Struthio camelus: one gene and its partners. The protein of the gene in region 2 interacts with the protein of the main gene of each other region in a biochemical or structural test. Links are inferred from orthologs where the notes say so. Each region holds a gene or a part of one and is shown on either strand. Other genes may lie near its edges.

Evidence for each region.
Region 1: of the proteins of CDK2 (region 2) and POLL, one has a biochemical effect on the other in vitro, tested with the Homo sapiens proteins (2 studies listed by BioGRID). The link is inferred for Struthio camelus from reciprocal best matches to the Homo sapiens genes CDK2 and POLL.
Region 3: of the proteins of CDK2 (region 2) and MYBL2, one has a biochemical effect on the other in vitro, tested with the Homo sapiens proteins (3 studies listed by BioGRID). The link is inferred for Struthio camelus from reciprocal best matches to the Homo sapiens genes CDK2 and MYBL2.
Region 4: of the proteins of CDK2 (region 2) and CDC7, one has a biochemical effect on the other in vitro, tested with the Homo sapiens proteins (2 studies listed by BioGRID). The link is inferred for Struthio camelus from reciprocal best matches to the Homo sapiens genes CDK2 and CDC7.

Annotation. Positions count from the first base shown.
Region 1 is NC_090948.1:16,303,804-16,311,399, forward strand, and holds the start of POLL (DNA polymerase lambda), read right to left. Parts: upstream 2,992-7,596; coding exon 2,877-2,991; exon of another isoform or gene 2,631-2,876; intron 2,599-2,630; coding exon 2,301-2,598; intron 1,618-2,300; coding exon 1,449-1,617; intron 1-1,448. Other genes in the region: protein DPCD, read left to right, coding at 2,990-3,079, 3,528-3,699, 4,650-4,718, 5,412-5,536, 6,302-6,435.
Region 2 is NC_090969.1:689,528-696,634, forward strand, and holds the start of CDK2 (cyclin-dependent kinase 2), read right to left. Parts: upstream 3,242-7,107; 5' UTR 3,093-3,241; coding exon 2,977-3,092; intron 2,843-2,976; coding exon 2,765-2,842; intron 2,597-2,764; coding exon 2,476-2,596; intron 2,407-2,475; coding exon 2,236-2,406; intron 2,120-2,235; coding exon 2,018-2,119; intron 1,222-2,017; coding exon 1,018-1,221; intron 919-1,017; coding exon 814-918; 3' UTR 1-813. Other genes in the region: melanocyte protein PMEL, read left to right, coding at 5,097-5,160, 5,736-5,873, 5,954-6,100, 6,177-6,317, 6,392-6,553, 6,629-7,107. UniProt on the Homo sapiens protein: Serine/threonine-protein kinase involved in the control of the cell cycle; essential for meiosis, but dispensable for mitosis. Phosphorylates CABLES1, CTNNB1, CDK2AP2, ERCC6, NBN, USP37, p53/TP53, NPM1, CDK7, RB1, BRCA2, MYC, NPAT, EZH2.
Region 3 is NC_090959.1:5,762,781-5,770,238, forward strand, and holds the start of MYBL2 (myb-related protein B), read right to left. Parts: upstream 3,209-7,458; 5' UTR 3,140-3,208; coding exon 3,120-3,139; intron 1,944-3,119; coding exon 1,850-1,943; intron 545-1,849; coding exon 473-544; intron 56-472; coding exon 1-55. Other genes in the region: uncharacterized protein, read left to right, coding at 6,218-6,976. UniProt on the Homo sapiens protein: Transcription factor involved in the regulation of cell survival, proliferation, and differentiation. Transactivates the expression of the CLU gene.
Region 4 is NC_090949.1:19,220,314-19,227,799, reverse strand, and holds the start of CDC7 (cell division cycle 7-related protein kinase), read left to right. Parts: upstream 1-4,188; 5' UTR 4,189-4,278; intron 4,279-4,532; exon of another isoform or gene 4,533-4,727; intron 4,728-6,961; 5' UTR 6,962-6,973; coding exon 6,974-7,067; intron 7,068-7,486. UniProt on the Homo sapiens protein: Kinase involved in initiation of DNA replication. Phosphorylates critical substrates that regulate the G1/S phase transition and initiation of DNA replication, such as MCM proteins and CLASPIN.

The DNA of each region.
Region 1 (7,596 bases), on a different chromosome or scaffold from region 2:
GTTCCCTCACAGAGAGCTCACATCCAAACACAGGACCTCCCGGAGCAGCCCTTGTCCGGTATAAAATACTGGAACACTCACCATGCCCTAGAGAAGAACATTCGCCCAAGCTAGAAAGGACGCTGTGCTTAAATGGAGGCTATTTCCAACCTAAGAGTTCAGCTTCAGCTTTTCTGTTAGAGCTAGGTCTTAAAAGTACTTGGCACTGTCTTTAAAGTATGTCCAATGGATTCTCCTCTCCTCCCCAAACTAACCTAGTCCAAAGCTTGAGCCAAGAGATTTTTCTCCAGTCTGCAGATGGTTCTGGGCACAGATTAACCACAGAAAATATCATCGTTTGAAGCAATTTAAAAGAAAAAAAAGCAATACGGTTTCAAACAGACTCTAACTGCTGTCTGATCACTAAAGTAAACGTGAGCAGAAAGCAAGGCAGCTGCCACGGGATCCATAAGAGTACAAAAGCCCTTTCCTTCAGTTAAGGGTGAGATTCGTTAATAAAGACTGCCATTAAATTAACCAGAGTTACAAGAAACAATAAAGATGGGCTAACAGCAAAGCTGATGAAGAGATTAGAAAGCAGCAGCCAATTCTGTCTATAACACACTGGATAGTAAGTCTGAGAAGGCGCTCCCCACATACACATTCAAGAGAAGGGGAAAGCCCAAAACAAAGGAGCCCTCAGTGGGCTGCCAGCTAGGCAGGAGCTGCAGGGTTTTATGAAACAGAATTGGCAACTGTGATTTTGGAGTGTGCAGGCAAACTTGGCATCAGAGCACTATGAGATGGCTGTGGCTCCCAGAGGTCTGGAGTAACTTTGCTACAGATAGATCTGGACGATGCCAACGCCAAAAAAAAAAAAAAAACAGCAAACGAGCAAAATGCAGAAAAAGAAAAGATAGCTAAGGTCGGGTCTGGAGAAGGCGACTCACAGCAGAGGCCATTAATAACCCAGCATGGATATTTTAAGCACAACACACAATCATTTGAGTGGCAACCTGATCTATTGCACATGTGTCTGAATGGGGTGCTTGCCAAGAAGTGGAGAATGGGTCAGTATGGCTCAAGCAGGAACACAGAATGAAACATCAGAGTTTCCTGAAAGGGAGATATTCTCGGCCAGGGAATATTCCCCAAAAGGAGGCAGAGGAAACATGATCACCAGAGTGAGCCTTGGCCTGATCAAAGCACCAGGACTGCTTCTGCTGGAAATGTTTTGATGGAGACAGGAATTTAAGGGGTGTTTTTTCCACTTTTAACACCTAAAAGGAACAAAGAGAAGCAGTAACTACGTCCACAGCCCAAATCTGCCAGCACCAATCCACTGAAATAGCCAAACGCCTTCGCTTTCCTGATGTTTTCTGGCATCATAGCCCTGCAGGGATGCTCTTAGCCAAGAAAAGCAGTATGCAGGACCCATTCACAAGAATGACCTGTGCTGGAAGCCTCACCTCAGCTGGCTGCTGCTGTCCAAGGATGCCCAGGGTTTGCGGCAAGGAATCTCCCAAGCGTGCTTCAGCCTTTGGTTTCACAGCTCCGTCCCCTGACTGGGGCTGGATCTCTTTGCTAGCCAGGAGCTTCTGCTGCTGCTGTTTTTGCAGTTCTCCCTCCTCCAGGTACCTGCCATAAGAGGTAGCATAAGAGTAGAGCATAAGAGCAGGAAGACTTCTCAGCCCCCAGATGTTTGACTAGGAAATCCTTCTGCAATTTTTAGGGACGGAGCAAACAACCAACAAGAATTTTGCTCTCTCAGATCACAGATTCATTACTTCGGTCTTGGCTCAGTCTCCCAGTCTCCATTCTCTTCGTTGACCTGCACCTTTCACTCCTATCTACCTTAGTCTTAGACTCTTCCTCCAAAGCTCTGCCAATACATTTTGATCCTAACCTGCAGCTGCCTGCTGCTCCGTTTGTGTTTCCTTGCGTGCCTAGTAGTCAGTTCTCTCTCTATTTTTCATCTGCAATAAGCAAAAACAGCATTTAATTCTCAACATTTCTAAAAAAAAAACCTCCTTGCTATCACTGATGGATTAGGAAGAGCTGCCTTGAGCACCTGTAGCAAGCAACAGTACTCCTGGTAGCATTTCCGGGCTCTATTCCAAGTTCTGCTATCCCACAGACCAGTAACTAGTCACAAAGCGACTAAATTTCATGAACTATACAGGGGGAAATGACTTTGAGCCATGCCCAAGGGACCTGCAATGAGTTTCAGTCTAAGATCTTGAGCAGAGGTGAAATACCAGTGCAGCTCAGCTTGGAATAGAGGCACTGTGGGGGAGAACGACAGCCTAGGATTTGCATACCTGCAAGGGATAAAGACACTGTAGCCAGTGGTACTCAGCAGCTTCTGGTCTCTAATGCAAGCACTTAGCCAGGATGCCTTCACTAGCTGCAACCCTGAAGGTAGCTTGGGTAACTTAAGGAGCCGAAAGGCACGATCACAGTCCATGTCTTCAGCCACTATGACGTGCGTCACCTCCGAGGAGAGGTGGGCGTGGACCCGACCCCCATTCTGGACAATTTGCTTGTGGAAGATCTCTGCCCTGGCTTGGCCAATGCCAGCTCGCAACACATAGGCAGTGACTGGTTTCAGCCACTCTGCTGAGGAAAAACACAGGGCAGGAGGTCAGTGTGAGAGAAAGAGTGTCCCAAACCAGTCAGGCTACCTCTCTCATGCGGGACTCCTTGGGATCAACCGCGGCAGGCAATCTTTGGGGGCCACCAGCTGCAGGCCTGTGGCTGGACACACCAAACCTTGCCAGTCGCGGCCTCTACAGGAAAAGCACCTGGGCCAGAAAAAGCCTCTGGGAGAAACACATCTCCAGTTAACAAGCTGGGAGATGAGCACTGTATACGCATGACGGGCAGACTGCACTTACCCTCAGGTACCCCTGCTCCTTCCTCTTTGGTGATCTTTGGAGGGATGCTTTTCCCCGAGTCATCCCTCACCTTCTTCCTCTTGGGAAAGGCCTTGACGATCCCCCGCGGCTCCATGGGCTGCGCGTCGCTTCCCCGCGGGAGGGTAACGCTGCGAACGCCGAACACCGCTAAGGAAGAGGAAGGTTGCTCGGCACAGTATCAGGCAAGCACCCCAAGCCAGGCTCCGCTCATTCGGCTCGCAGGCCCGGCCGGCGCGGGGCCTTCTCCGTGCTGCCTCGCCAAGGCGCGCGCGCCCCGGGGGAAACACCTGGAAGGGAGGGCGCAGGACCCCCGGCAGAAACCGCTAAGGAGCCACTTAAGACGAGCCTGCTCGAGGGCCCTGGAAACCACGAGCAGCAGGTGCTCGCAGCACAGAGGCAACGCTCTGTTAACGACGAGGAGCTCCTTCCTGCCCGGCCAAAAGCTTCATTTCCCACGGGTGTTTTAGGGAGGGAAACACCCCTCGCCACCGGGCGCGGGCAGCCGCCGCCGCCATCACCGGGGCCTCAGGCCGCAGCAGCGGCAAGAAACCCCCAGCCCGCCTCCAGCTGGAGGCAGAAAGTCGCAAAGGCCGCCCGGGCCAGCCCGACAGGTTCCCCCCGTCACTCCAGGCCCCCCGCCACCCCTCTCACCGGCGGGCCCGGCCCGGCCCGCGATGGCGGCGCTTCCGGCAGCGGGCGGAAGCGCGCGCGCTGCCATGGCGACGGCGGGCGGCCGCCATGGCGGTGCCGAGCTGGCTGGAGAGGCTGCGGGCCGCCCGCAAGACCGCGCTGGTGCAGGACGGTAACCGGCGGCCCGGGGCGGCCCTCCGGGAGCGCAGCGGGGCTGGGCGGGAGGGGGGCGCTGGCGGGCAGCGGCTTGGGGCCCTGCGAGCCCGCGGCCATGCAACCGGGGAGAGGGTCCTTGAGCGGGGGACAGGGCCCCAGACTGGGGTGGGGGTGGGGGGGGGACGACGACATGGCCCCTGAACAGGGGACAGGGCCCCAGACTGGGGTGGGGGGGGACAGGGCCCCTGAACAGGGGACAGGGCCCCAGACTGGGGTGGGGGGGGACAGGGCCCCTGAACAGGGGACAGGGCCCCAGACTGGGGTGGGGGGGGGGGACAGGGCCCCTGAAAGGGGACAGGGCCCCAGACTGGGGGTGGGGGTGGGACAGGGCCCCTGAAAGGGGACAGGGCTCCAGACTGGGGTGGGGGTGGGACAGGGCCCCTGAACAGGGGACAGGGCCCCTGAACAGGGGACAGGGCCCCAGACTGGGGGTGGGGGGCAGGACAGGGCCCCTGAACAGGGGACAGGGTGGGACAGGGCCCCTGAACAGGGGACAGGGCCCCAGACTGGGGTGGGGGCGGGACAGGGCCCCTGAAAGGGGACAGGGCCCCAGACTGGGGGTGGGGGGCGGGACAGGGCCCCAGACTGGGAGGGGGGGTGGGACAGGGCCCCTGAACAGGGGACAGGGTGGGACAGGGCCCCTGAAAGGGGACAGGGCCCCAGACTGGGGGTGGGGGGCAGGACAGGGCCCCTGAACAGGGGACAGGGTGGGACAGGGCCCCTGAACAGGGGACAGGGCCCCAGACTGGGGCAGGGGGGCACAGGGCCCCTGAACAGGGGACAGGGCCCCAGACTGGAGGGGGGGGCAGGGTCATACATCTGGGGACAGGGTCGTAAACCCAGGGACAGGGCCTCCGAGAAGGGGCTCCGTCTGCCTCCCACCCTCACCGCCCACTTTGCCTCTAGGGAAGAAGAAGGTCCACTACCTGTTTGAGGATGGCAAAGAGATGGCTGAAGAGTACGACGTGCAGACGGGTCAGTTAGTGAGTAAGTGACGCGCTCGGCTGGCCCCCAGCTGCCCCAGGCGTAGCAGAGCGAGGCGAGTGGCACCAGTGCGTGCGTGCGGCAGCAGGTCTGCGCTCGCCAGCCTGGGGTAATCTCCCGAGGGACCTCCTGGTTAGAAAAAAGTTGCTCCCAAATGGCCCAGAAGACAATTCTGCCTTTAGCGCCCCTGAAATTTGTAGGGATGTAAATAAGGTCCAGCTTGGACCCAGAGGTCTCTCCCTTCCAGGGCATAGCAGACCTTATTTTAACCCAGGATCTCTCCTAAACATCCACTCTGTCACAACAGGCTTGAAGGGACCGAAAGGGATTGCCCTCTCGGTCTGTAGCACGCGCTGGGGTGAAGTATGCTTTTTGACAACTTCTGCAACCGCAAGCAGGCAAGATGTCAGTTTGGGTCTTACCCAAAACCACATCAACTGCAGTGTGGCACCTGCTGCAAGCCCTCTGTGGGTTCAGCACCGACTAACAAAAGAGAGAGACTCAGTGCTGATTTTCTGACTTTAGGAGCTGGCCAGCTAACTGATCGACTTACACCTAAGTGGAAATGACTGGAATTAAGGGAAAAGGCATATCATCTCAATGGGCTGGGCAATTTTGTTGGCTATTTTCTGGAGTACTTTTTATGGAACAGAATAATGAAAACCCTCCTTCTCCTTTCCACAGGTAGAAAATGGCGAGAGAAGAATGCTTTAGGGGGCTCCGGCAAGTGGCAGGTTGAGGTGGGAGAGCCAACCTCACCTCTCGTGGGAACACTGGAATCAGAGCTCATAAAGGAAAGCAGCTCCAATGTATGTAAAGGGTCTGCAGGCACCGCTCCGCCTAGAAACCTAGCCTCGTGCTTACAGTAGTAGTTCGTAGACTGCAGATCACTCATAGCCCCAAGAGGCAGCCTTAGCTGGCCTAGTGCTCATCCCATAGGTGTGGGGCTGAGCAGAAAGGGCACAGTTTAGTTTGTTTGCAGTCTTCAAGAGCTTTGGAGTTTCCTTAAGTAGAGAAACTGTCTACGTTGCTGTGTTGGCTAGCTCCTGTTTTGGCTTCCAAAAAATAGCCTCAAAGGAAGGCCAGTGCCTGGACAAGTCAGTGGATGGAAAGCAGAGGCAGTGACCATGAGAACATGACACCTGCAGTGCATAGCACTGCCTGTATCAGCTTCTCATCCCAACAGCTTGCAAGGCTGTTAGTCTCTAATCTGAAACACAAGCACAGCCCTGCACAGCAAACTGGGACACAGCCAGGACCAAGTGCAGCAGGTCCCTAGGGTAGGGGAAGAGGCCCGGTTTCCACATAACACTGTCGTTCAAGAGCCCCTCGTTGAACATTCCCAGCCTCCTACAGGCAGGGCAGGCAGTGAGTGCCCTGGGTAAAGGCTGTGCCATAGCAGTGCCAGCTTTAGGAGACTGATGCTCAGGCAGTTTGAGTTATTCCCTGCTCTGCTCGAGTGTGAAGGAAGGGCTGCCTCATGTGAAACCTCTCAAGATAGTACAGGAAGAAGGGCTAGGGAAAAGAGAAGACACAACTGGAGGGGACTTGCTAAAGGTACTTGTTTGCTGCAGCCTGTCTTCATGAGGAAGGATACCCTGACCAGCTTCCAGTGGCGGATCCGTAACCTGCCCTACCCCAAGGAAGTTTACAGTGTCTCCGTGGAGAAGGAGCAGCGCTGCTGTGTCATCCGGACCACCAATAAGAAGTCAGTAAGGACAGCACTGCCAGTGCTGAGAGTCCCTCGGGGTGGGCTGGCATAGAGGACAGGCTAGTGATGGCACAGGGGAGGTATCATCTCTTGGCTTTAGGCTCTGCCATGCAAGGACTGAGCAACCACAGCCAGTATACACAGCTGAGTGCCTCCTCCTGTCTGATTTCCACTCCCAGGTACCCCAGACATGTCTCTGGTAAAGCCCCTCAGCTCTGCGCTGCCCTTCACAAAATTATCACACAATTCCAGTAACAAGATGTTTGCTCTGTCCTTTCCCTGTCCAGCAGCACTCCTGTAATAAATAAAATAGGACCCCCTCCCCGACCTCTTGAAGCTAGAGTCGCCAGCTCTAGATGACGGAGCATTTGGATGACACTTTGATCTAGTCACATTTCAGAATGTGTGGAGCTGCAGGATTCAACTGGTATAGCATAAGTCATGTGGGCATCCAGGGAGACCTCCCTCAGTAAACCTATCCTGTAGTTATAAGGCAAATGATACAATCTGGAGGTGGCAAGAAGAAGAAAAGTCAGAATCTTGAAAGAAAGTGTCACTATATTCTACAGAAGGAATTTGAGATGGGAGCAAAAAGTGGCTATTAAACATCATCTTACACAGTGTCATTGCCTGGCCTTTTACCCATGGAACAAGGGACATAGTGTGCCCCAGAGCTTTTGCAGCCTCAGGTAAATGAGCAGGCATGAGCTGCAAGGGGAAGGGATAAGCAAGGAGGGCACATTAGGAGAACAAGGGAGGATACTGGAAGATAAATGAATGCCATTTACCAACCAGGGTACTATGCCAATATGGAAAGGTGGGCAAGGTGCCCTCTGCTTGTCTTCTTTTCCCAGTGTCACTGTAGAATAGAGAAAGATCAGTCATGAATAAGAACCACCCCGTTATTTTCCAACCGGCTTCCTGCTGTCTTTAAACTACTCCTTGTAGCTGGCTGTAGGTGGTGCTATTGGCAAAGAACTCACTCCACTTTGGCCACTTAAAGCCTTTCAGATACCAGAAACCACAAATCTTTAGGTAAGGGTTTACCACATCAGAAGCAGCGGCAAAGGGATGTTTGAACTCTGCACCTGAGCACACCTGGATGCTCACAAGCAGAAGGAGGTTAGACAGAGGAAGAAGCATCTGTCCCATGAAAAC
Region 2 (7,107 bases):
CCTGCGCCCGGGGGACGAAGGCGAACGCGGGCAAAGGCCTCTCCCCTCGCGCCGAGGGAGCTGGGGCTGGTTTCCCTGCCCGGGACCTGGTCGCAGCCCTCCCCGCCAGGCCGGGGCTGGGAGCAGGGCAGTGGCAGGAGCTGCCCTGGCCCGGGCTGCCCGCACGGTCCCCATCGTCCCCAGGGCTGGGTGCGAGCAGCCCTGGACAGATCCGGCTGCTTCCAGGGAAATAAATACATCGGGGAGGGAGTTGGGTTGAACCCGCCTCGCCTCTGCGAGAGCCTGGCGCGATGCGCAGCCCCGAGCCGGGACGGGGTCCCCAAGGTCGCAGCTCCGCAGCCCGAAACGTCTCCCGGGGAAGGGCTGTAAGTGCCTGAAGTCCAGGGGAGGGGAGACGGGGGCCTCCGTGGGGCCAGAGCGGAGCAGGCCCGGCCCGGGCAGGATCGCGCCCGCCTGCAAGCGGCAGAGCTGCACGCCGGTGGCCCCACGCGGGGACCTGCTCCGCTCCCCGGGGGCTCGGACCCCGCTCGGGGCCGGAGGGCGGTTGCGGAGGGGAAAGAGGGTCCCTGAGCCCCGGGCTGGGGCCTCGGCGGCGCTGCCCCCGGGGCCGGAGGTGCTTCCCAGCATCTCGCCTCCGCGGCGGGGGGCCGGGGGGGCGTGCGCGCGGGCAGGGAAGGCGGCCCCCGCTCTCCGGGCGCTGCCTGGGCAGCGGGAGGCTGCCCGGTCCTGTCCCGAGGGCTCCGGCTCGGCGCCGGCAGAGCCCGGAGGGCTAAGTGCAAGCAGGAGGGGCGGCAGCCCTGGGGCCAGGCTGCGTCACAAGCGCAGGTGGGGGACAGCCCGGGTGACGTCGCGGAAGAAGGGGTGACCCAGCGCCGACTTGGCCGAGATCCGCTTGTTGGGGTCGTAGTGCAGCATTTGCTGGGGAGAAGAAGGGGGCGGTGAGGGGGCGGCCGGGGACGCGGGAGCCGCGGGACCCTGCTCCCCCCCCCCCCCCAACCCGCCGCGTCCCTCACTCACTGCCAGCAGCTTCCGCCCCTCCTCGTCCAGCGGCGGCACCACTTTGCTGAAGTCCTGCCGGGCCCACTTGGGGAAGCTGGGCTTGTAGTCGGGCATGGAGGTGACGCCCGGCCACATGGCCTCGTCCGGGGTGCCCAGCGTCCGGAAGATGCGGAAGAGCTGGTCGATCTCCGAGTCTCCGGGGAACAGGGCTCGCCTGGTGATCTGGGCGAGAGGGCAGAGCCGTGGAGAGCCGGGCTCCACTGGGGCTGCGGCCGGTGCCGTCGCCCCAGCACCCGCGCCGGGCCGGGCCGGGTTGACCCCAACGCGAGGCAGGGGCTGGCCGGGCCCGCGGGCGTTACGGAGCCGCCTGGCTTCCCCAAAGCGCCCAGTGACGGGGCGAGAGCCGGCGGGCGCCGCACTGGCAGGTCTCCGCCCCGGGACGCCTTGCCCTTTCCAACCAAAGCTCCCCCCACCAGCACGCGTTGGTGGGTGCCAGACAGGGCCAGGCTGCCCGACAGGGGCAAACCCTCGGCCAGAGATCAAACAGCCCCTCATGACGCGGCGCCGCGTGAGCTCCCGCGCCGGCCCCTCGTGACGCAGGCCCTGGCCCCGGGCAGGGTGCCGGCCCCGGGGACGTGTCCCTGCCCGGCCGCGTGATGCCCAGCCCGGGCGGCGGGGCTCACATGACGGCCCCGCTCGCCCCGGCCAGCGCGGCCCCTTCCTCCGGGGCCCGGGAGCCCACAAAGCCCCTTTTCTTCGCCGGTGTCCGTCAGCCGGCTCCCCGCGCCGCGGTGACGCCAAGGGCTGCCGGCCCCGGGCGTGCGGCCGCGCAGAACCGGCCCGGCGAGGCCGTGCCTCGTCCCCAGGGCGCCGGGCGCACCCGTGCCTCGTCCCCAGGGCGCCGGGCGCCTTTGGACGCGAGGGGACAGGGACCGGCGCCGCTGCGGAGCGTTGGGAGCCAGGCCGGGCCGCGCTCGGCGCCTCTCCCCGCGCAGGGGCGCCCCGGGGGGCCGCTCACCATCTCGGCAAAGATGCAGCCCAGGCTCCAGATGTCCACGGCCGTCGAGTAGTACTTGCAGCCCAGCAGGATTTCGGGGGCCCGGTACCAGAGGGTCACCACCTGCCGAAAGGGGCGAACGGGCGCTGGCTCCTCCGCCCTGCCGGGCCGGCCCAAGCCGTCGCTCCCGCCGCCGTGCGGGGAAGCCGGCAGGCCGGGCACGTGCTCGGGGCGCTCACCTCGTGCGTGTACGTCCGCACGGGCACCCCGAAGGCGCGGGCCAGGCCGAAGTCGGCCAGCTTGATGGCTCCCTCGGCGTTGATGAGCAGGTTCTGGGGCTTGAGGTCGCGGTGCAGGACGCGGTGGGAGTGGCAGAAGGCCAGGCCCTGCAGCAGCTGGAACAGGTAGCTCTGCGGGCGGAGGGCGGGCGGTGGGCGCGGGGCCGCCGGGAGCCAGCCCGCCGCCCGCCGCGGCCCTACCTTGATCAGGGGCAGGGCGATGCCGCTGATGGAGGACGAGTCCATGAACTTCTTCAGGTCCTGGTGCAGGAACTCGAAGACCAGGTAGAGCTTGTTCTCCGTGTGGATCACGTCGAGCAGCCTGGAAGCGAGCGGGGTGCAGGCCTGGGCCCGGCGCCGCGGCCAGGCAGCGGGGCGCTCCGCTCCCGCGGCCGGCCCCCGAACCGGCCGGCCGAAGAGGCGAGGGCCGGCTGCGAGCGCGGCCGGGGCGGCTCCGCCAGGCGCCCGGGCCCCCCGCCGCCCCGCTTACTTGACGATGTTGGGGTGGTTGAGCTCCTTGAGCAGGGAGATCTCGCGGATGGCCGTGCTGGGGACGCCCTCGGTCTCCCTGCGGGTGAAGCCACCGGGGCCGGGCTCAGCGGGCTGGGCCGCCGCCTCGGGCCCCTCGAGCCGCCGGGCCGGGCTGCCCGGGGGCGCCGCGGCCCCTCCCGCGCCCCGGCCCGCCGCGCGGGGCTGCCTCACGTGTCCAGGCGGATCTTCTTGAGCGCCACCACCTCGCCCGTGACCTTGTTCCGGGCCTTGTAGACGACGCCGTAGGTGCCCTCGCCGATCTTTTCCACCTTCTGGAAGTTCTCCATGGGGCGGCGGGTGGGGGCCGGGCCCGGCACCGGCGGGAGGCTGGTGCAGGGGGTCCTGGCGCTCACTCCCGGGGGGGATGCAGGGGTCCCGGGGGCTGGTGCCGAGAGGGTGCAGGGTGTCCTGGGGGCCGGTCCCGGGTGGGGGGGTGCAGGGGGTCCCGGGGAGGTTCCGGAGGGGGGTGCAGAGGGTCCTGGGGGCCAGTCCCAGGGGATGCGGGGGGGGGCCGGTCCCGGGGGGAGGTGGGGGGGCCAATCCCGGGGGGGAGCAGAGGGAGGGTACAGGGGGTCCCGGGGGCCAGTGCCGGGGGGGCAGGGTGTCCCGGTCCCGAGGGGGGCAGGGGGGGTGCAGGGGGTCACCGAGGCCGGTGCCGGGGGGGGGGCCGTCCGGGGCGTGCAGGGGGTCCCGGGGGCCGGTGCCGGGGGGGCCGGTGCCGGGGGGCCGGTCGGGGAGTCCCGGGGCCGGGGGGAGGGCGGGGGGGGTGCAGGGGGTCCCGGGGGCCGGGGGGCCGGTCGGGGGGGGCGGGGGGTCCCGGGGCCGGGGCCGGCGCGCGGGGCGGATGGAACGTTCGCGGCCGCCGCTTCCCCCCGCGCGCTACAATGTTGCCGCGGCCGCCGCCCGCCCGCCGCTTCCCGCCTTCCGCCGGCCCCGCCCCCCGCGCCGCCCCATTGGCCGGGGCTGCCGCCGACGCGCCGGGCGACGCGGGAGATCCCTTAAAGGGACAGGCCCGCCCCGAGGCCGCTGACGCGGGGACCTTTCCGGGGGGGGGGGGAGGCCGGGCCGAGCCCCCCCGGACCAGCTGCTTCCCGAGCCGACCCGGCTTGTCCTGGGGGGGGGTGTCCTCCTGGGACAGGGACATGCTGGGCTCTGGCCGGGGACCCCCACAGCCCGGGGACGCAGTTGGGGTGGGATCTGGCGAGGGACCCCCACAGCCCGGGGACCCCCACGGGCCGGGGACGCAGTTGGGGTGGGATCAGCCAAGGGACCCCCACAGCCCAGGGACCCCCACAGCCCGGGGTCCCCCACAGCCCGGGGATGCAGTCAGGGCGGGATCAGCCCGGGGTCCCCCACAGCCCGGGGATGCAGTCAGGGCGGGATCAGCCCAGGGACCCCCACAGCCCGGGGTCCCCCACGGCCCGGGGACGCAGTCAGGGCGGGATCAGCCCAGGGACCCCCACAGCCCGGGGACCCCCACAGCCCGGGGCCAGGGCCGTGCTCCTCTAACCGCGGTTCCCCCGTGGCCTGGGGACGGGGTCGTGCTGGGTGCTGGCGAAGGTCACCCATGGCCGGGGCTGGGGTCCCCGTCCCCAGGTGCGCCCAGCGCAGGGTCCCCGGCCGCGGCCGGGGCGATGCTGCCACCTCCCCTCCGGCCCGGCCAGCCACCTGGCAGGGGACGGAGCCGGCAGCGGTGTCACCGAGGAGGAGGGCCCGGCTCGAGCTGGGCGCCAGGGCGGCCGCGGCGGGCTCTGAGCGCGGAGCCCCGCTCTCGGGGGCAGCGGTGGCGTCGCCAGCGATTTGGGCGCAGGGGAAGGGGCTGGAAACCGCGGGAGGAGTCCGGCGCGCCCACGCGGGGCAGCGGCCTGCAGGGAGCGGAGAGCGGGCCAGGTGGCCGCCCCGGCCGGCCGCGCGGCGCTGCGTGACCGCAGCCGAGGCCCCGGGGTGCCGGGCTCCAGCCCGGTTCCCGGCGAGCCGAGCGGGCGCCCTGCCCCGGCCGGACACCTGCGCGGGTGCAAAGGGCCCGCGGAGGGGAGCAGCCGGGACCAGACCCGGCAGCAGACCCCCCGAGGGGGCTGCGGTGCGTGGAAGGAGCGTGTGACCGGCCGGCCGGGGGCGGGGGGGCCGCACGCGCGCCCCACGCGCACAAGGGCAGCTGGGCGCTGCGGGGGGGCCGGGCCCCGCGGGGTGGGACTATGCAAACGAGAGCCCCTTCTTATCCCCCCGGCGCCGGCGCCTTCGCCTCTCTGCCCTGGCAGTGCCCGAGCGCGGGAGGCGACGACGGCCGGAGCATGCGGGTGCAGGGGGCGATCGCGCTGCTGGGGGCCCTGCTGGCCCTGGCCGCAGCTCAGCGCCGTAAGTGGGGCCGGGGGAGCCGCGAGCGGGGCGGCCGCTCGCCCATGGGTGCGGGGTCCCGGTGGCACCCAGAGTCCCACACCGGGCGGCCGTGGCCAGGACGGTCCCGGGCGGCGATGGGGCCTGCCGGGCTCCCCAGGGTGGCCAGGGGGGCGGCGGGGAGTTAACAGGGCTGCTGGTGGGCCCCGGCCCCCTGCCCAAGGGAGGGGAGCAGGATTAGCCCCTGCTGATGCCCGGGCTGGGCACCGCGGGGGGGTGCGAGCGGGGCCGGGGCGCGTCGCGGGGACCCCGCGCTGCCCGCGACGGGCGGCATGGCCGGGGCGCCCCTGCGAGCCGGGGGACAGCGGGGGCACCCGCGGCGAGGGGGGGGCTCACCACCCCGCCGGGCCCGGAGCCGCCGCCGGCTCAGCTGAGAGTCACATGAAAGGGCTTGGGCAGCGCGCGGCGCCATGTGACGGGCTCGGCCCCCCGGCGCCGCGCGCGGCCTGGCCCCAGCCCATCACGCGGCGTCTGGCCGGCGCGAGGGCCGCGCGCCCGGGGCCGCCGGGGAGCCCCGTCACCCCTCTGTCCCCCAGGAGCCGGCGGCCGGAGCCCCGGCAGCAGCCGGCGGAGCCAGACGTGGAGCCAGGCGCCGGCGCCTTTCCGCAGCTGGGACGCGGGGCTCTACCCGCCCTGGCAGGATGGGGCCCCCTGGCAGAGGGACTGCTGGCGAGGTGGGGGCCGGGGCCGGGGCGGGGGGGGGTCGGGGCCGGCGGCGCCCGTCGCTGAGCCCCGGCCTCGCGCCCCTCCGCAGGCGGCAACGTCACCTTCGACATCAGCAGCGACGCGCCCACCATGGCGGGCGCCAAGGCCACCTTCTCCATCGCCCTCCGCTTCCCCGGCGGCCAGGCGGCGCTGCCCGACGGCCGCGTCGTCTGGAGCCGCGACGGCACCGTCAACGGTGAGCGCCGGCCGGTGCGGGCGCCCCGCTGCGCCCCCCGCCGCCGCCGCCGCGCTCACCCCGCGCCTCCCCGCAGGCACCCGCGTGGCCCGCGGCCAACCCGTCTTCCCGGAGCAGCTGCCCGAGGGCTCGGACGGCGTCTTCCCCGACGGGCAGCCCTTTCCCCGCAGCGCCCGGGGCGAGCGCGGGAGATTCGTCTACGTGTGGTGGACGTGGGGTGAGACCGCCGGCGCCGGTGCCGCCGGGCCCCCCGGAGCCCCCGGTGCCGGGGCTGACGCCGCTCCCCCGCAGGGCGGTACTGGCAGGTGGTGGACGGCCCGGCGTCGCGGCTGACGGTGGGCACGGCCGGCGTGCCCCTCGGCTCCTACACCATGGACGTGGTGGTCTACCACTACCGCGGCCGCCAGAAGTTCATCCCCCTCGGCCGCGCCAGCACCCGCTTCAGCGTCACGGGTAGGAGCCGGGGCGGCGGGCGGGGGGCACCGGGGGGGCGGCGGGCGCGCTGACGGCGCCGTGTCCCCCGCGCAGACCAGGTGCCCTTGGCCGTGGACGTGGCGCAGGTGCAGGGGGCGGCCGGCGGCGCCGGGCGCTTCGTGCGCAACCGCGCCGTGGCCTTCGCCGTGCGGCTGCACGACCCCAGCGGCTACCTGCGCGACGCCGACGTCTCCTACTCCTGGGACTTCGGGGACGGGAGCGGCACCCTCATCTCCCGCAGCGCCACCGTCACCCACACCTACCTGGAGGCCGGCTCCTTCGCCCCGCGCCTGGTGCTGCAGGCCGCCATCCCGCTGAGCCCCTGCGGCAGCTCCGCGCCGCCCCTCGTGGACCCCACCACGGGGCCGCCGCCGCCCTCGGCGCGGCCCACCGCCACCAGCGCCGGCCCCGCGCCCAGCACCGCCGCGGCGCCCAGCACCGGTAAGCGGGCGAAGGGGCGTCCCCGGTCCCCGGGCGCCCCACGGGCACCCCGCGACCCCTCCGCTCTCGCTCTGCCGCCAGCAGCCACCGCC
Region 3 (7,458 bases), on a different chromosome or scaffold from region 2:
AGTCTGGATTCAACACCCTCAGCCACCGGTACTGACACTGCTGATCGCTGTGATTCTGGGAGGAGGAATCAGAATACCCTTGTGTTAGAGTGGAGGCTTCAAAAGCCTCTACGGCAACAGCAGTCCCCACATGCACATCTCGACAGTAGGGGGACAGGCTGTCCCATGGAAAACCTGCAGAAGCACATGGAGAATACATACTATAGGCTAGGGCACTGGACACGGAGGATAGAGACAGGAGTCCCGATTTCTCATCCCAGCTCCAACAGACTCACCCTCAAACATCCTCTATGAAAGAAGGATGTATTCCTGCCCTGAAGGAACACTGTTTTCATAATAGCAGCCTGGAGCTGCAGCCACAGAACAAAGTCCCACTGTGCAAACTGCTGCACAAACACAGATCACTAGTGCACCGAGCACAAGAAGCAAAAGGCATACACCAAGATTCCCAACTGGGCAAGGGTTCACTTACAGGAAAGTGACTGGCCAGGAACTTCCAGTCATTCTGCCCATAATGTCTCACTAGCATCTTCAGCTGCTCATCCTGCAAAGAATAACGACATCTACTTTCACATACACTGAGGCATAGATGCCACAGGCATGCCCAGGTCCAATGGCATCAAAAAAGGAGCATGATCTTTTGGTCTGTCAAGAAGTTTTTCATTATTCTGCATCCTGGGGAGGAAGGCAGCTCATGCTGTCCTTTAGCAGCACTCTAGCGCATGGACTGTTTGGTCCAAGGCTTTGTACAAGGACCAGCTTGTACAGTGAGATATAATACAAAAGCTCTGCTGCTGTGGTCACATTCAGGCCTCTCTCCGTTCTGTTCTAGTATAGCGCAAACGGTACCGTGCAGCCAGGGCTATCTCCTTATCCAGTCCCAGCACATCCCTGAGCAGACGGTCTCTCTTCAACTCAACCACTGCTTTTGCTGTCCAAGTGCATCGCTGCCAACCTAGTAGCCTCCTGCCTTTCAGCACTGATGAGCCCTTAGAGCACTTCTGTCAAAAACCACACCTTTCCCCTACTCCTACAGATCAGGCAAAGTCTGCTACAGCCCAGCTTGCCCATGTGCTCCGGCTGAGCAAAGAGGTAAGAAATAATTCCCTGCCCAACATGAGCCCAAGAGGCTTCGATCTCTGCACAAAGACCATTCTTACTCAGCGTTCAAACTCCAGGAGCAACAGGATATTTTGTAGTTCTCACACAGAATAGAGATTATGGAGGAACTAGGAGGCAGAGAACATCCCAACTAATTTCAGGCTCTCGGCCAGGATGACTAAACCATGATCCCAACACTCTCAGCGTTCTCTGCTCTCGCTACAGAAAAGGGAGGGCATCTCTACAGCACCACAGTGTGATTCAGCCCAGCAACGCCTCAGCCATCCTCTGGAACCGCTCTTCGCTCACTGGAGAGTCTCAGGCACTAGACGCCTCACTCAGGACTCGGATGCCTAAGCTGAAGTGGTCTGAGCTCCAACCCTCCTGCTGCACTTTAGACTCACCTGAAACTCCATCCTCACTAAGATCTCAGCTCAGGTCAGCAAAACAGGCCCAAGGCCTTTCCAGTAACGAGACAAGACATGAGGCGATGTTGTGGCCAGTCAGTGAGGACTTGGATGGAGGCACCCACCCCTCAGGTGCCATGCCAGAGGCCAGGGACAGCCTCCTTTCCCAGCTGCTAATGGATATGATAAATGAACATCCTCACCAAACGCCATCGACTTCCTTCCATGTGTCCAGCTGTTCTCTTACAGCTTATCCATGCCAGAAGTCCCCCAAACAACCACAGTATCTGCAACCCTCCCCAGAAACACCTGCTCTCAGGAAGTGCCAGGCTCTCACTCACCTCCTCCTGTGTCCATTTGACTTTGCACCTGCTGTCCCGCTGTTCTGACACATCCGAGTCAGTATCCTGACAATGCAAATCATCTTGGTCCTCACTGAAGAAAGAAACAAAAAAAGGTTATTGTTTCTTCCTCCCATAAAGAGACAGCAGAAAGAGCAACCTCCAGAGCAGAGAGCAGAGCTCCAGATCTACGGTCTTCCCCATGCTGAATCTCAACACCTCACAGACATTAACTCGGATACAGAAGGTTTAAAAGGGGTCCTCAGCTTTGAAATCTTGGTGTGTGCTAGCAATTCCTATGCTGCCAAGAGAGCAAGGAAAGGAACATTTCTCTTGATTTTTGCTAGCTTTTCCCCTCTGGGAGGGCTTTGTGTCTAAGGGCTGGCACCACTTTCCATCTCTGCAGATCATCAGTCTCCTTCCTTGATTGCCGGTGTAAACAAAAGAGATGAAAAAAGGAGGAGAAGCCAGTCCCAAAACAATTCAACAAGAACAAAATGGTCTGGAAGGCCCCAGAGCAGCTCTCAGAAGAGAAGCTAAGTGTTTTGGGGCAAGATTTCGAGGGAGAGGTCATCTCACACCACCCAGGCAGGGACTCCTGCAAGCACATCCCACCAGCACTGCACCCACAAAGGCCAACGATAACAGGGAGATGCTGGGCAGCTTTCTGCAGCGGACTGGGCAGCCCACACCACGGAGCTGCGCTGGCCCTGGGAGAGTGATCCTGGGGGCACCGACTGCTGCACATCAGCAGCCCCAAGCACGCGCTTAGGTCTCCTTTACCACTTTTTCCCTGCTCAGGGGCAGGAACAGGGCACAGACCACGGCCTCGCCAGCGGAGAGGCCTGTGGCACGGAGCCCGCCACACCAGCGAGGGCAAGCGGGAGCAGCCAGCCCTGCCCCAGAGGGCAGCTGAGGAGCGGGGGGCCGGGCCGCTGCCCTGCTCCGAAACGCAGCGCCCGTGCAGCGGGGCTGAGCGGGGCGCCGGGCAGGAACAGGCCGAGGCAGAGCCCGAGGGCCCGGCAGTGGGTCCTGCCGCCTGCTATGGGGCAGGCTGGGCCCCAGGCGCCGCGGGGGTAGTGGGGGGGGGGGGGGGGAATCCCGGGCTGGCACCCGCTGCAGGCAGGGCCGCCGCCGGCCTGCGCCTCGCCTCCCCCCAGCGCTGACCGCCCGCCCGCCCGCCCGCCTGCCCCTCTCCGCCCGCCCGCCCGCCCGCCCGGCGGGAAGGCGCGGGCACGGAGCCCCGCGCGCAGGCGGCGGCCCCACTCACCCGCGGCTGCGGCGCGCCATGGCGGCCGCGGGCTGGCGGCGCGGAGCCGCAGGTCGGGCGGGAGCCGGGCCGGGCCGGGCCGAGCCGGGCCAGGCGGGCGGGCGGCAGCGCGGCGGCAGCAGCAGGCACTTTCCTATCTCGCGCCAACTGCGGCCCCCCCCGCCGCGGGGCCGGGCCGCGCCTGCGCGCTGCGCCCCGGCGCCGCCCGCCCGCACAAAGAGGCGCGCGCGGGACGGCGCAGCCCGGCCCGGCCCAACCCGCGGGTCCCCTCACGGCCCGGCCCGCGGCTCTCTCACAGCCCGCCCCAGCCCCGGCCCGCGGGTCCCCTCACAGCCCGGCCCCGCTCCCACCCGGCGCAGAGCCCCCCTCAGAGCCCGGGGCCTCGAGCAGGACCCCCAGACACCCTTCCCCGCTGCGGGCCGGCAGCCCTCAGCGCGACAACTCGTGACAAAAACGTGACAGTCCGCTCCCTCGACTGGCGGGCCCCGAGGACGGCCAGGGACCCCGGCACGGGGAGCCCCCTCGCAGCCCGCCCTGCCGACGAGCTCAACGCTGAAACGCCCCCGAGGCCGCTTAACCGTCCGCCTGCGGGGAACCGCTCTCCGTAACCTGGAGTTGAAAAAGAAAACCGCGCCGGGACAAGTCTAAAGACAAATCTTCTCCTGCCCTCTCTGCCACCAGCCCCCGCGTGGCCACCCCAGGACCCCTCGGCGCAGCAGGGGCCTCCTCGCGCCCCTGCTCTAACCCGCCGCCGCTGCCCGCGTCCCTCCTCGCCGAGGGGCCGCTCGCAGGTCACCCGCATGGGGCAGGGGGGGTCCCACCGAGGGCCGTGGCTATCCTTGCAAAACCTAGCACTTTTCGGACACAGATACAGGCACAGGTTTGCCTTTTGGGGTGTAAAAGAGAGGCCTGAACCCCTCAGGGCACAGCTTCGCTTAACAGGCAGTCCGACAAGGCGGCCCTAGGAGGGGATCTGCGCTGGCCGCGATGCGGCCGCGTCCAGCCTCTTAGCCGCAGACCACCGAGCATCCCCGCAGCCTGCCGCCCGGCGCTGCTCCCTTCGCCTTCCCGGCACCTACCTCCCATCGAGAGGGCAGAAAAAAACCAATCAGAATTAAACACCTTCCCCATGCTGCTTTTCCAGCGCCACTGCTCCAGGGGGGCAGCGCAGGATCCCAAGCGGAGGGCACGGGTCGGCACGCTCCCAGCAGCTGGGGCTCTCCTGGAAAACCTTCACTCTACCTTTCCTTATCCCTTCTTGCCAGGGGGCGGCACTGTTATACCACGCACACAAAAAAAAGCAGGCCTGAAAAAGAAGCACAAGAAGTTACCCGAGTTATAGCTGTTCTTGAACACACCAGGAATTGGCACCACCGTATTTTGGACTGCTGCTGCTGTTTTTGCAGTGCACGCTGCGCATAGGTATCTACACATACCTGCTCGTGCCCCTGTTTTCATTCTAACTCCTAGCGTTTGGTCTGTGCACACAAACGTTCCCTGGTCAGTATTTCAGACTAAACATAGCAGCTTTCCGTCTAGGGCTCGCAAGGCGGGAACGCTATACGCGTCCTTCTCCTGCAGTCAGGAGACACGGGTCTCAGTCCTGCTCAAACTTAGCTGCAAACACGCTGTTTGCTCTTGAAGGCTGCTTGCTGACGTGCTTCAAAGTTAAAAAACGCAAGCAAGTCTTTGCAGGCCTTAGGATTTACTTTCCGCGTGGTTTATCACATCCCCCAATCACTACCATTGACCTAAAACTCCTCCCTCTCCCAAACTAGCTTAATTAGGAAATTAGCATGTTAATTAATTAGCAAAACTATAAAAATACTACCAGCAACATGATCAAAAAAGGATCAGGATCTTGAAAGGGGTCTCTGTAGAAGGTGAAGGTAAGTAGTCAGGTGTTTTTTTTTCTATGCTTTTTATTTTCTTAGTATTTTTCAAGTATTAATGTATTTAAAATGTCTTTAAGGATGAAGTATTTCAGTATCTTAAAGAACAATTCTCCTTCACAATGACCCATAGTTATACAGTTCTGCCTTTATAGTAAATAAAGTGGCTTTTTTAATGATACTGGCTGCCTTCCCCATCTCGCTCTCATGTATTCCTCCTCTGTCTGGTCAACAAGCAGTTGCTGACTGGCCAAGTGGTGAGAACTTCCCTCACAAGGGGAGGGGGAACGTGAAGGAAACTCTTAGTGACTGAGCAAAACATACTGTCGTGCGGTTTCAGAGCAAGACGAGAGCAGCCAAGAGGACCTGTCTACTAAGAGTTCCCCAGGTGGCCCGTGTCTAGACTACGGGGTCCCACAGATCTGTGGACAGGGGCTGTACCATGTACAGGACTAAATACAACATGGGAGCTACTCCTTCCTGTCAAACTCTCACTTCTCCTAACCAGTAATACTGGACCCAGTATTAGGGTCTCCCTCTGAAAGGGAAGCAACTCAGCTCTAATTGAGATTAATGCTGTCCTGGTTTGAGGAATGAGAACAGAATATCTGGTATCTCCAGGAAAAGGCCCATCCTGCTCCAGCTTAGTACCACTAGGAGGTGGAGAGGTTTACTGAGACTCCTTACACCCAAGAGGACAAAACTAAGAGTAATGGTATCCAGGCTGAAGACATTAAGTGATGCTATTCAGTGTCTGAAGCTCAGCTGTGAGAGCTGATCTAACCAAATGGAGGACTGTTCCTTCAGGCCTCCCCTAGATGGGAAACAGCCCTGCCTAATAGTACATCCAAGGATTTCTCTGACTCTCTGGCCAAAAGGTACAATAGGTACAATTGTGGGTATGCTCCCTTCTGCCTCAACTTGGCAAGGATGCTGCAGTGTTTGGGGGAGCACTTCTTAGGTCACTTAGACAGTAATGATCTCCTCTGAGCAGTAAATAGGCCATGGCCTGACTGCCAATAAACAGGGAGCTCTGTTACACTAGAAGCGAACTACAATTTGGACGCCTAAACTTTCCTTGGATCTTGCCTGTCTCCTCACTTTCCTAACTGAGAAACGGGATTTTTAAAATTTATTTTTTAGCACACTTGTTCTACCAGGGACATCTTCAACTTCATAAGCCTGACACTGCTGGGATACTGCATCATGTCCACCAAGAGGAGCAATACCAGTATCCTGACCCTAAAGGAAATCCTGGAAACTGGCTTTGTGACAGGGGCCTCCACCCACAGCCATTCTTCTCCTGTCCACAGTTATATGGACTGTAGCGGTGCCTCAAAATCCAATACCTGGGAGCTTCTCCTAGACTTGGACAACACAGCCAAAGGCAGCTCTCTGTATGTTGTCAAGCAGTCAGAGTCTCTGAACAGCTGTGTGAAGACTGACCTGCACAGCCTGACCCAGGCAGTTTCTGATAGCAGTCTTGTCTCTTTCTGCAAGACCCCCCGTGGTCAAACTGTCTTTGATCTGTCTGGTTTGCCTTCTGAGCACCCCAATAGAGGCCTGGGGTGCCACTCCATGATGGATGTGGTCTCGCACAACACATCAACACCATGCAAGACAGAAAAGCACGCCAAACCACTGGAGAATCTGCTATCCAGGAGCACTGAGCTTGTAACAGACATCTCAACCCTTGAGAAGCCACCAGCACCCAGATGGGAGATTTCTGAAATAAAAGCCCCCCTGGATACCAATCTGTCCCTTGACATAAGTGCTGAAGAGCTAAGGTTGCTGGGATGTTCAAAACCGGATACCCCATTACTGGAGACCTCCTCTGTAGTAATTCCTCTGGCTTGGCCTGGTGCCTTCAAGAGGTGCCCTACTCTGATCCATATGTCTTCCACCTGTGAGACTCAGCTGAGTGACCCTGAGCCTGTATCTGTGTTTCAGCATCAAGCCCTGTGATGCTGCTGCCCTAGCTCCAAATCTAAGTGAACTCCTCTCTTAAACTTGCATGTGTTCAGCTGCTGTGTGCTTCACTGGACGGCTTGGGGTAACTTCTGTGACGCCGATCACAAGCTGCACAATGTCGCGGATGCATGCTGCAGCACAGAAGATCTCAAAGCTGAGCGGCCCCCTACCCTGACCTGAGCCAGGGGCTTGCTTGCTGATGAGACTACCTGTTGCTGCAGCTGTAGGTGTAACTTTTAATCTTCCACTTAGAGATGACTTAACTGGGAAACTGCTCGGGGCACTACTGGGTGGAGCAAGCATGGACGGTTCGTTTGCTGTACTCCTCGGAAAGCTGCCTAAGCTAATGCCAGCTCATGAGCGCTGCTCAGCGACTTGCAGCGCTCCTGGGTTCCCAGACCAGTTCTCTTCCCCTCCCTTCTCGGTGTCCTTTGTATTAACGCAATAAAGATTTCAACTTCATTGTGTGCGCGGGC
Region 4 (7,486 bases), on a different chromosome or scaffold from region 2:
ATAGTTAATCCTACCATTCACATAGAATTCTATATACATACGTGTGTGTGTGTGTGTGTGTGTACACACACACAAGAACACGTATTTACACATATATACATATATGCATATACATTAACATACATATATACCTATATATTCATATCTACTGCTAGGACAATAACTACCTGTAGTTTCTCATTTCTAAGTAGTTTCTAATTTCTAATTCTCAGTTGCTAACTTATGAGCAGGTGTTCTTGGCAGCAGGGAGAGGTTAGACTTTCCTACCTCTCTCTGTGCTGGATTCTTTCATCAATTATCTTCCTGGCTGTGTCCTTTCTTTTTTATAAGGTTAGAGCATAATACATACACAGGGAGAATTGTGCTAGCTTAATTGACCTAGGAAGAGGTTAACAGACGTTTTCCAGAGTCAGCACTGATTCTTTTACATTTTTCAGTAGATATATATAAAAAAAAAAAATTCGATTCACCTGCAGATTCTGGCAGAGTGGATGCAATCACACAGCAACGTTTTGATCATTTCTTCTCAGACCTCCCAGAGGTTGGTTTTGGCAACTGCTTGTCTGCCTTAAGCAAAGTTCTTCGTGGGCCTGCCTTGTCATTTGGCTTCTCATCCTACAGATCCAACAAAAGAGATAAAGTCACAAGAGAAGACAGTGCAGCAGTTTGGCTTGCAGAGCATTAGACATGCCATTCTGTTTATCATATTTAGTTGATGTAATTTCTTCTTTCCCCTCTGATAAGCTCCTAACTTAGGTACATTGTAAGAATTGGAAGCTCAGTGCTGAATGAGAGCTTTCTCTGCCTCATCTGCAGAGAAGTAAAGGGATTTCTGCTTATTCAAGCTAAATGAAAAGAGGGCATTTCTCTTTTTTTTAGCAAAGGAAGAGAAGCTTTGCCTTTACCAATTCTACATTCTAAATAAAATAAAAACAAGCTAGAGAAGATGTAGTAGAAACAGAATACCTAATCTATCACTCCTGTGAAGATGTATATGAAGAAAGACATTGATGAAGAGGTGATTTTCGACAAGCTACTCATATGAGGAGAGTCATGGCTAACTTGACTGAACTTCCTCCTTAGACAGACAAGAAGCAAGAAGAGAAACACAAATGAAGGCCAGTGTCAAGACTGGCATTTCTGGAAGACTAAAAAAAGAGTAGGACAACAAAAAAAGACAATATTAGATTATATTACAAGTGCAGCTACACTAGTGAGAACAAATAAACGTAAATTTGACATGATGGAGAACAGAAATCACTGGAAAGACTGAATGAGGGATTGCGATAAATTTGGATCAATAGGAAAAAGAGGAAACAGAGAGGAACAAGTCATCAGTGTAGACAAATGACCGAGTCTAAATGATAAGGATTTTAGGTGTTAGAATAAAGAGAGTCTGAGATATTATAAGGAAAGAAATGACATCTGGACCAAGCTTAGATTAGAAGATAAAGTGAAAGGGATTTCTCACTCTGAATGAATACAGCCTGAGTGACAGGGAAAAAGGTAGCATTGACATCATTAACAAAGAAATGCTAATAACGGAAGCTCTATAAGAAGTGCAAGGATAAAAAAGGTGGTTCTACATTATCAGAACTCAAAGGCACAAAGGGAGGCCAGCGAGGTAGGCTGTAATTCTGAACTGGCCAGGAGGCAGCAGAGCTATACGTGCAACTCAAAAATAATCTCCAGATATCTCCAGATAATATCCAGATTTTTGAATAATTAATGCACTGCTTGTATGCAGTGTACAGTATGCAGAAATGATTGCTGGCAGGCTGTCCTAATAGGTAAATTTAGAATGACAGTGCCTGTCATTAGCACTAGGACAAGCCTGCTCTCATTTATGCTTATGCTATCCTTCTACCTGCTATAGGATTACATGGAGAAAAGAAAGAACAGAATTTGGCCTGCATTATTCTGTTATTATCCCTCACTTAATTCATGTTTGCTGTAATCTGCTCTTAAATACTCTCGCCCTTAAATAAAATTGTTGAGAGTTTACTTTACTTAGCTAAATCTCTAGCTGCTGCACTGGCTTATTAGAGCTCTTAACAGAATGTGCAAATTAGAATTGCTAAAAAAAACCCAAAGAACACCGCAGAAGCTGAGCAACATGTTTCAACACCTTCTTTCTAAACTGCACGATAGGATACTACACAGCGAGTAAAGAAGGTGGAATCTGTTTCCGATTTTACAGTTTCTGTTAATTTCATCTTATTATGAGACAATAGCCAAGTTAGAGTGTTGCCTTATGAACCTTGACCACTTTAGGCTTTCCTGTTATTTACAAAGGGGTGAAGTTACAGATCTCTACGTGAAGCACCCAGTAAACACAATATTACGTTTCATATTCTAGTGAGCAAGAGTCCTAGTGTATTCAAATGCAGGACAGCTAGTCTTTACCATTAAAGAGCAATTCTTTTTAATGTCAGAACAAAAAGAAATGGTGAAAAAAATGTTTTGATAAAAGACAAAAAGTGAAGTGCCAATTATTTTTTTAAACATGCAACTGCACTAGCTTCAATAAAATTCCACCACTTCAAAAAACAGCAAAATACAATTCAAATAAGATAGCCTCTTTACCTGGCACTGGTTATTGTTACTTGACAGTTTGGGGCCCAGATGTTCAGTAACGGATGAGGAATGGACAGTGAAACGTAGAAGAAATTGTTTTAAAACACCTCTGCGCTCTTAGGAGCGCACTGCTTAGGTGCAGGGGATGTAGTGCAGTGGTTCATTGAATACATCACTATCCTGCTTTAAGCTTTCCCCTGTGCAATGGGGCAAAGTTCTGTAATGCTCATGTTAAGTTTCAGTGCTTCAATAGTCCTGAAGAACTACTCATGAGTTTCTTAATTACTTCAGTATTATCATACATACACCCAGGGAGCTGAGGCCTTCTCAGTTTGTAACCTATGACCACTAAAGCTGCAGAGTTTTCTTGCAGAGGGCCTAGGAACTATAGCTTAGAAAAACAGGCCTATTGTGAGTAGGCCTAAATCTGCTCTACAAATACAGCTCCACGAGATAGTTTTCAGAGTGGCACAAGTCAAAAGAATTTGAAACCCACTAATCTCTGTCCTTTTCATAGGAGGTAAGGCATAAACGAATCTTTTTCTTTACTGTTGCACGTTTTTCTTATGCACTATCATCCCATGCTTGTTTGTGCCATGGCCAGTGGCTATAGCGCACTCCAGACTCTAGATGCTATATATTTTTAACTTTGCATTCTGTGCAACTCTTTTGCTATACAACTAATTAATAAAGCAAAACAGCAGGCCAAGTTATATTCTCCATTATTACTGGTGTAAATGAAGAGTTGTTTCACAGAGTCTCAAGTATTTATCTGGATTTATAGCAGAGCTAATGACAACAACACCTTATCTGGGCACCGTAATTATGTCATAATAATCACCTATAGGAAATAAATGTATAAAGGCTAAATATTGTTGTGCAGAGCATGAATACCCTGAGCAGTTCCAGACATGTGGAATCAGCAGATGCACAAAACAGCTCTGAGTTACCCGTTGTGCATTAAACGCACCCTCATATGTTTTCCTCTGTCTAGGCAGTTATCACAGAGCTTTTTGCCTCGCAGTTCACAGAAGTGCAAGAACCCTCCAGCGCGCTTTCCCAGCAGCATTTTCTCAAGCAGCACTTGAACTGTATCTGCGTGCTTGGCCCTTCAGCGGGCACGAGGAATTAGTACGTTGTTTAAACAAAGATCCCTCGTTCTCCACCACGTGCTTCTGAGCACATGTACCAAAAAGCCTGAGCGACAAACCTGAAGCCGCGGGCCAGGGCCGAGCGCCCCGCTTCCCGGCGCTCAGCCCGCCCGTCGCCGCCGGCCCCAGCAGGCCCTGGGGCCAGTAACCACTCCTGCGCTCACGCTTACTTCCTTGCTGCCGACCCCGCTGCCCCTTTCGGGCTGCCAGGGGAGGGCAGGGGCAGCCCGCTCGCAGGCCGCTGTCCCGGGTAACGCCCACCACCGCCGCCGCCTCAGCTCGGCTCCCGCAGCGCGAGGCCCGAGGCGCCGCGCGGGCTCGCCACAGCCGCCACAGCCGCCACGAGCCCGCGCGCACCGGCCGGCCGGCCGCCCCCTTGGGCGGGACGCTCCCCGCCGGCTGGCCAATAGCCTCCCGCTTTCCCTCGGCCGGCGGTCCCATTGGCCGAGGCCACGGTTTCCGCCGAGGGCCGGGATTGGTCGCGGAGGGGCATTCGGCAAAAGGCGGCAGCAGGCAAAAGCCCGTTTCGTCGCGGGAGCCCGCGCGGCGCGTGAGTCTGAGCCTGCCCCTCCCCCACCCCAGCACCGCCGGCGGGGCCCCTTCCCCGCCACCCCCCTCCCCCCCCACCCCATCCCGCGCTGCCGGCCGTTGGGCGCTGACTGAGGCGCCGGTACCGCTGCCCTGAGGGGCGAATCGGTCCGGTGCGGCCCGGGCCGGCGGGCTTCCCGGGGCGCCCCTCGCCCGGCCCCGCGCTGCGGGGCTCCAGCGTGCCCTGCGGGGAGCCCGGCGGCGGGGGGCGGGTGCCTTGGCGGGCTGGGCCCTGCCCGAGCGGCCGCTCCGCTCTTGTCCGGCGGGCTCCGCCGCCCGAGCGCCCAGGGCCCTCTCCGCACGGGCCTCCTGACGCGTTAAGAGCCTCCTTCAGGGCGCACCTCGCTGCGTCCGTGGGTCACTGCAGGAGCCGTTCACACATCGCGTACCTTCAACTTTGCCATTTAATTGGTAACTTCTGCTCACTTTTTAATATTTATGCTCTCAGACTGCTGCTTAAATGCAGCTGAAAGCGTGCATTTGACCAGGAGCCTTGCTACCAGGAGCAGTCTTGTAAAGCTAACCTGCTGTGACACATCCCAGATGTTTTTCTTTTGTCTAGCAGTAGTCGCATAAGGTAGCTCAAACTGAAAGCGTGGAAGTGTGATTTCTAAGTGCTTGTGCTGTAATGAAATGATTTATTGTAAATTTGTGGAAAATGCAAACTTACTGCATGACTTGATCCAGCCACAAAATTTGCCTTTCTTAAATAACAAAATAGATACACTAATACCATCCTTTGGTTTTGGCACCCCCTGCTTTTTCCTGCAGTACCAGTGGGTATGCTCCTGTTTGAAGAGCTTTGTGTTTTAGTGATAACAGATTGTGTTACAGGTAGTGACATCTGCTTTAGCCAGAGATTTGGCAGTAGTATCACTAATTTTTGTGTGTGAGGTTCTAATATCTGACTCAAAAGACTCTAAAACTCTGCAGGTTGTTTGAACCTGTCACTACCTGGTTGTTTCTCTTTTTTTATATTGGGAAAAACAGGTTTTTGTTTGTTTGTTTTTTGGAGATCTGTGATTTAACTGTAAAATAATTCTTTGAACTGAAACTTTGGATCATTCCTCTTCACTTTTCGTCTGTAACAGTGATTTTTTTGAGCATTTATTAATGTAAAAACTAAACATCTGACTGAATCAAACTTGGCTAAATGTTCTGTTAAGCCCTCTTCCAAATCAGCACGCTGTTGGGTTTTTTCTTAACATACTCAAATATTCTAGGTATTCTGTAAATAGTTATGCAAATATTAGCTTTTATGTTTAGCAAAAATGAATGTAAATGACACCTTGAGATACTGAGTCCCTTTTACCCTGCTCATGGGCAGGAAGTCCTGGAACATGTGTTCCCAGGGTGTTTTGCAGGCAGACAGGAGCTTTCATCTTCTGTATCCCAAACCAGCTGGGTGTAGCTAGCCTTGAACTGGAAGAGACTGTAGCTGAGGCTGGGATGGCACTGAATCAGAGCAAGTAAGCTGCAGTGAGAGGCGGAGTGCACTAATTTGCACTCCTTCCTCTGATGAGGAGGCCCTGCCATTTCAGGTGTGGAACAGGCTCATCCGCTTACTTGACGCTAGTGGAGGGAGCGTTTAACTGTGAAAGGCTGTAGACGGATCTCACTCCATCAGTTTCCAAGTCCTATTCTCCTTATCTATCCTTTACCGCTTCTCCAACGAAGCTTCAAAAAAAGGCTGCTGCTTGTCACTGTTCTGCTGCATGGGGATAACAAAGGAAAGGTAGCCAAAATTCTTTGGGGACAAAAGTATATTTCTAGCTTCATACCTGAAAACAGGTGAATCCTTTCTGCTGACAGTTTCCAAAATATGTTTCCTCCTTGTAGGAAAGTTCAGCCAGAAGTTTGGCAAAGTTACAAGCAAGAAAGATCTTTAAATATGTGCTAGGTGACTGTAATAGATGCAGATTCCAGGCTCATTTATCACTGTGGTTATTCTTCCCTAGTGCTCTATCTCTTTCCTCCTTTTTTTCATGATATAGAATTAGCGGCTTCTGAATTATACACTGTAAGTACACTACAGCTTGCTTATTCTTACAGCTTGCTTAATTTCCAAGATTGAGCAAGAGGCATATCAAAACAGCATGTGTGCATTTCTTGTTATGGTGAAAAGGAAACTAAGAATTATACTTCTTGTTGATCTCTAGAAGAAAGAGAAATCTCCCATCATATTGCAAAGATAATCATTTTCCTCTCTTATAATTTGTCTCAGGAGTGGGTTTTTTTTTTTTTTCCCGTTACTCTGTATGAGTGTTGCACTACGCAGATATTTGTGTGGATCAATTCCTTGCTTTCCAAAGCAAACTTTAAGGAAAGGATAATGCTTTAATGTGAATGAGTAAACACTAAAGATGAAAGAGAATCACTTGTCTAAGCTCATACTGCAGTCTTCCTTCCCTTCCCCCTTTCTTCCTCTTTCTTGGAGATAGAGTGGGTTTATTGGTTTAATTTTTCTCTTTTTCTGGGATGATGGGTAAGGCTTTGTTGTTTTAATTAGCACAGAGGAACTCCTCAAACTCCCTGAATCTCATTTCAGGAACTGTGTGAAGGAGAAGGAAGTCTATTACCAGATATGTTTGCTCCCCCAGGTGTCCAGATGTGGTCCTCAAAGTCTTGGATTTTTTTTACTTCAGGTTAGTTTTGTGATGGAGACAGTGTTGAAGTCTCATTGTGATGAACAGCACCCCCAAGAGGCTGAAGAATTGCAGAGGAAGCAGGAGCAGAACAAGCAGCTTTCAGGTATGTGCTAAAACAGGGACCACTAATATTACTTTTTGTTGCTGGCATGCTTTCTCACTTCAAGGACTGTCAGGAGCAATATACTGTTTGTATATGGTCCTATTGTATAAAGAATTTGTGAAATGAAAACTCTTGAGGTTGCTTTTGTTCTTAAGCTTTTTAAGCTTTAAGCAGTAGTTGTCACAATTTGCTGGCCCCATTATTTATTTATTACAGAATATGTTACAAGAAGATACTTGTACACCAAGAAGGCAGTCCTTGAAAATAAAATTCTCTGACCAGACAAGTGCACAAAGTTAATATTTTGCCATTTACCCTATCCTAGCCAGCTTTGTACTTAAATATTTTTAGATATGATCATGTGCACAAAAATACTATTCTTACTCTTAGCAGAGAAGTTAGAGTACAAATATGTGCTC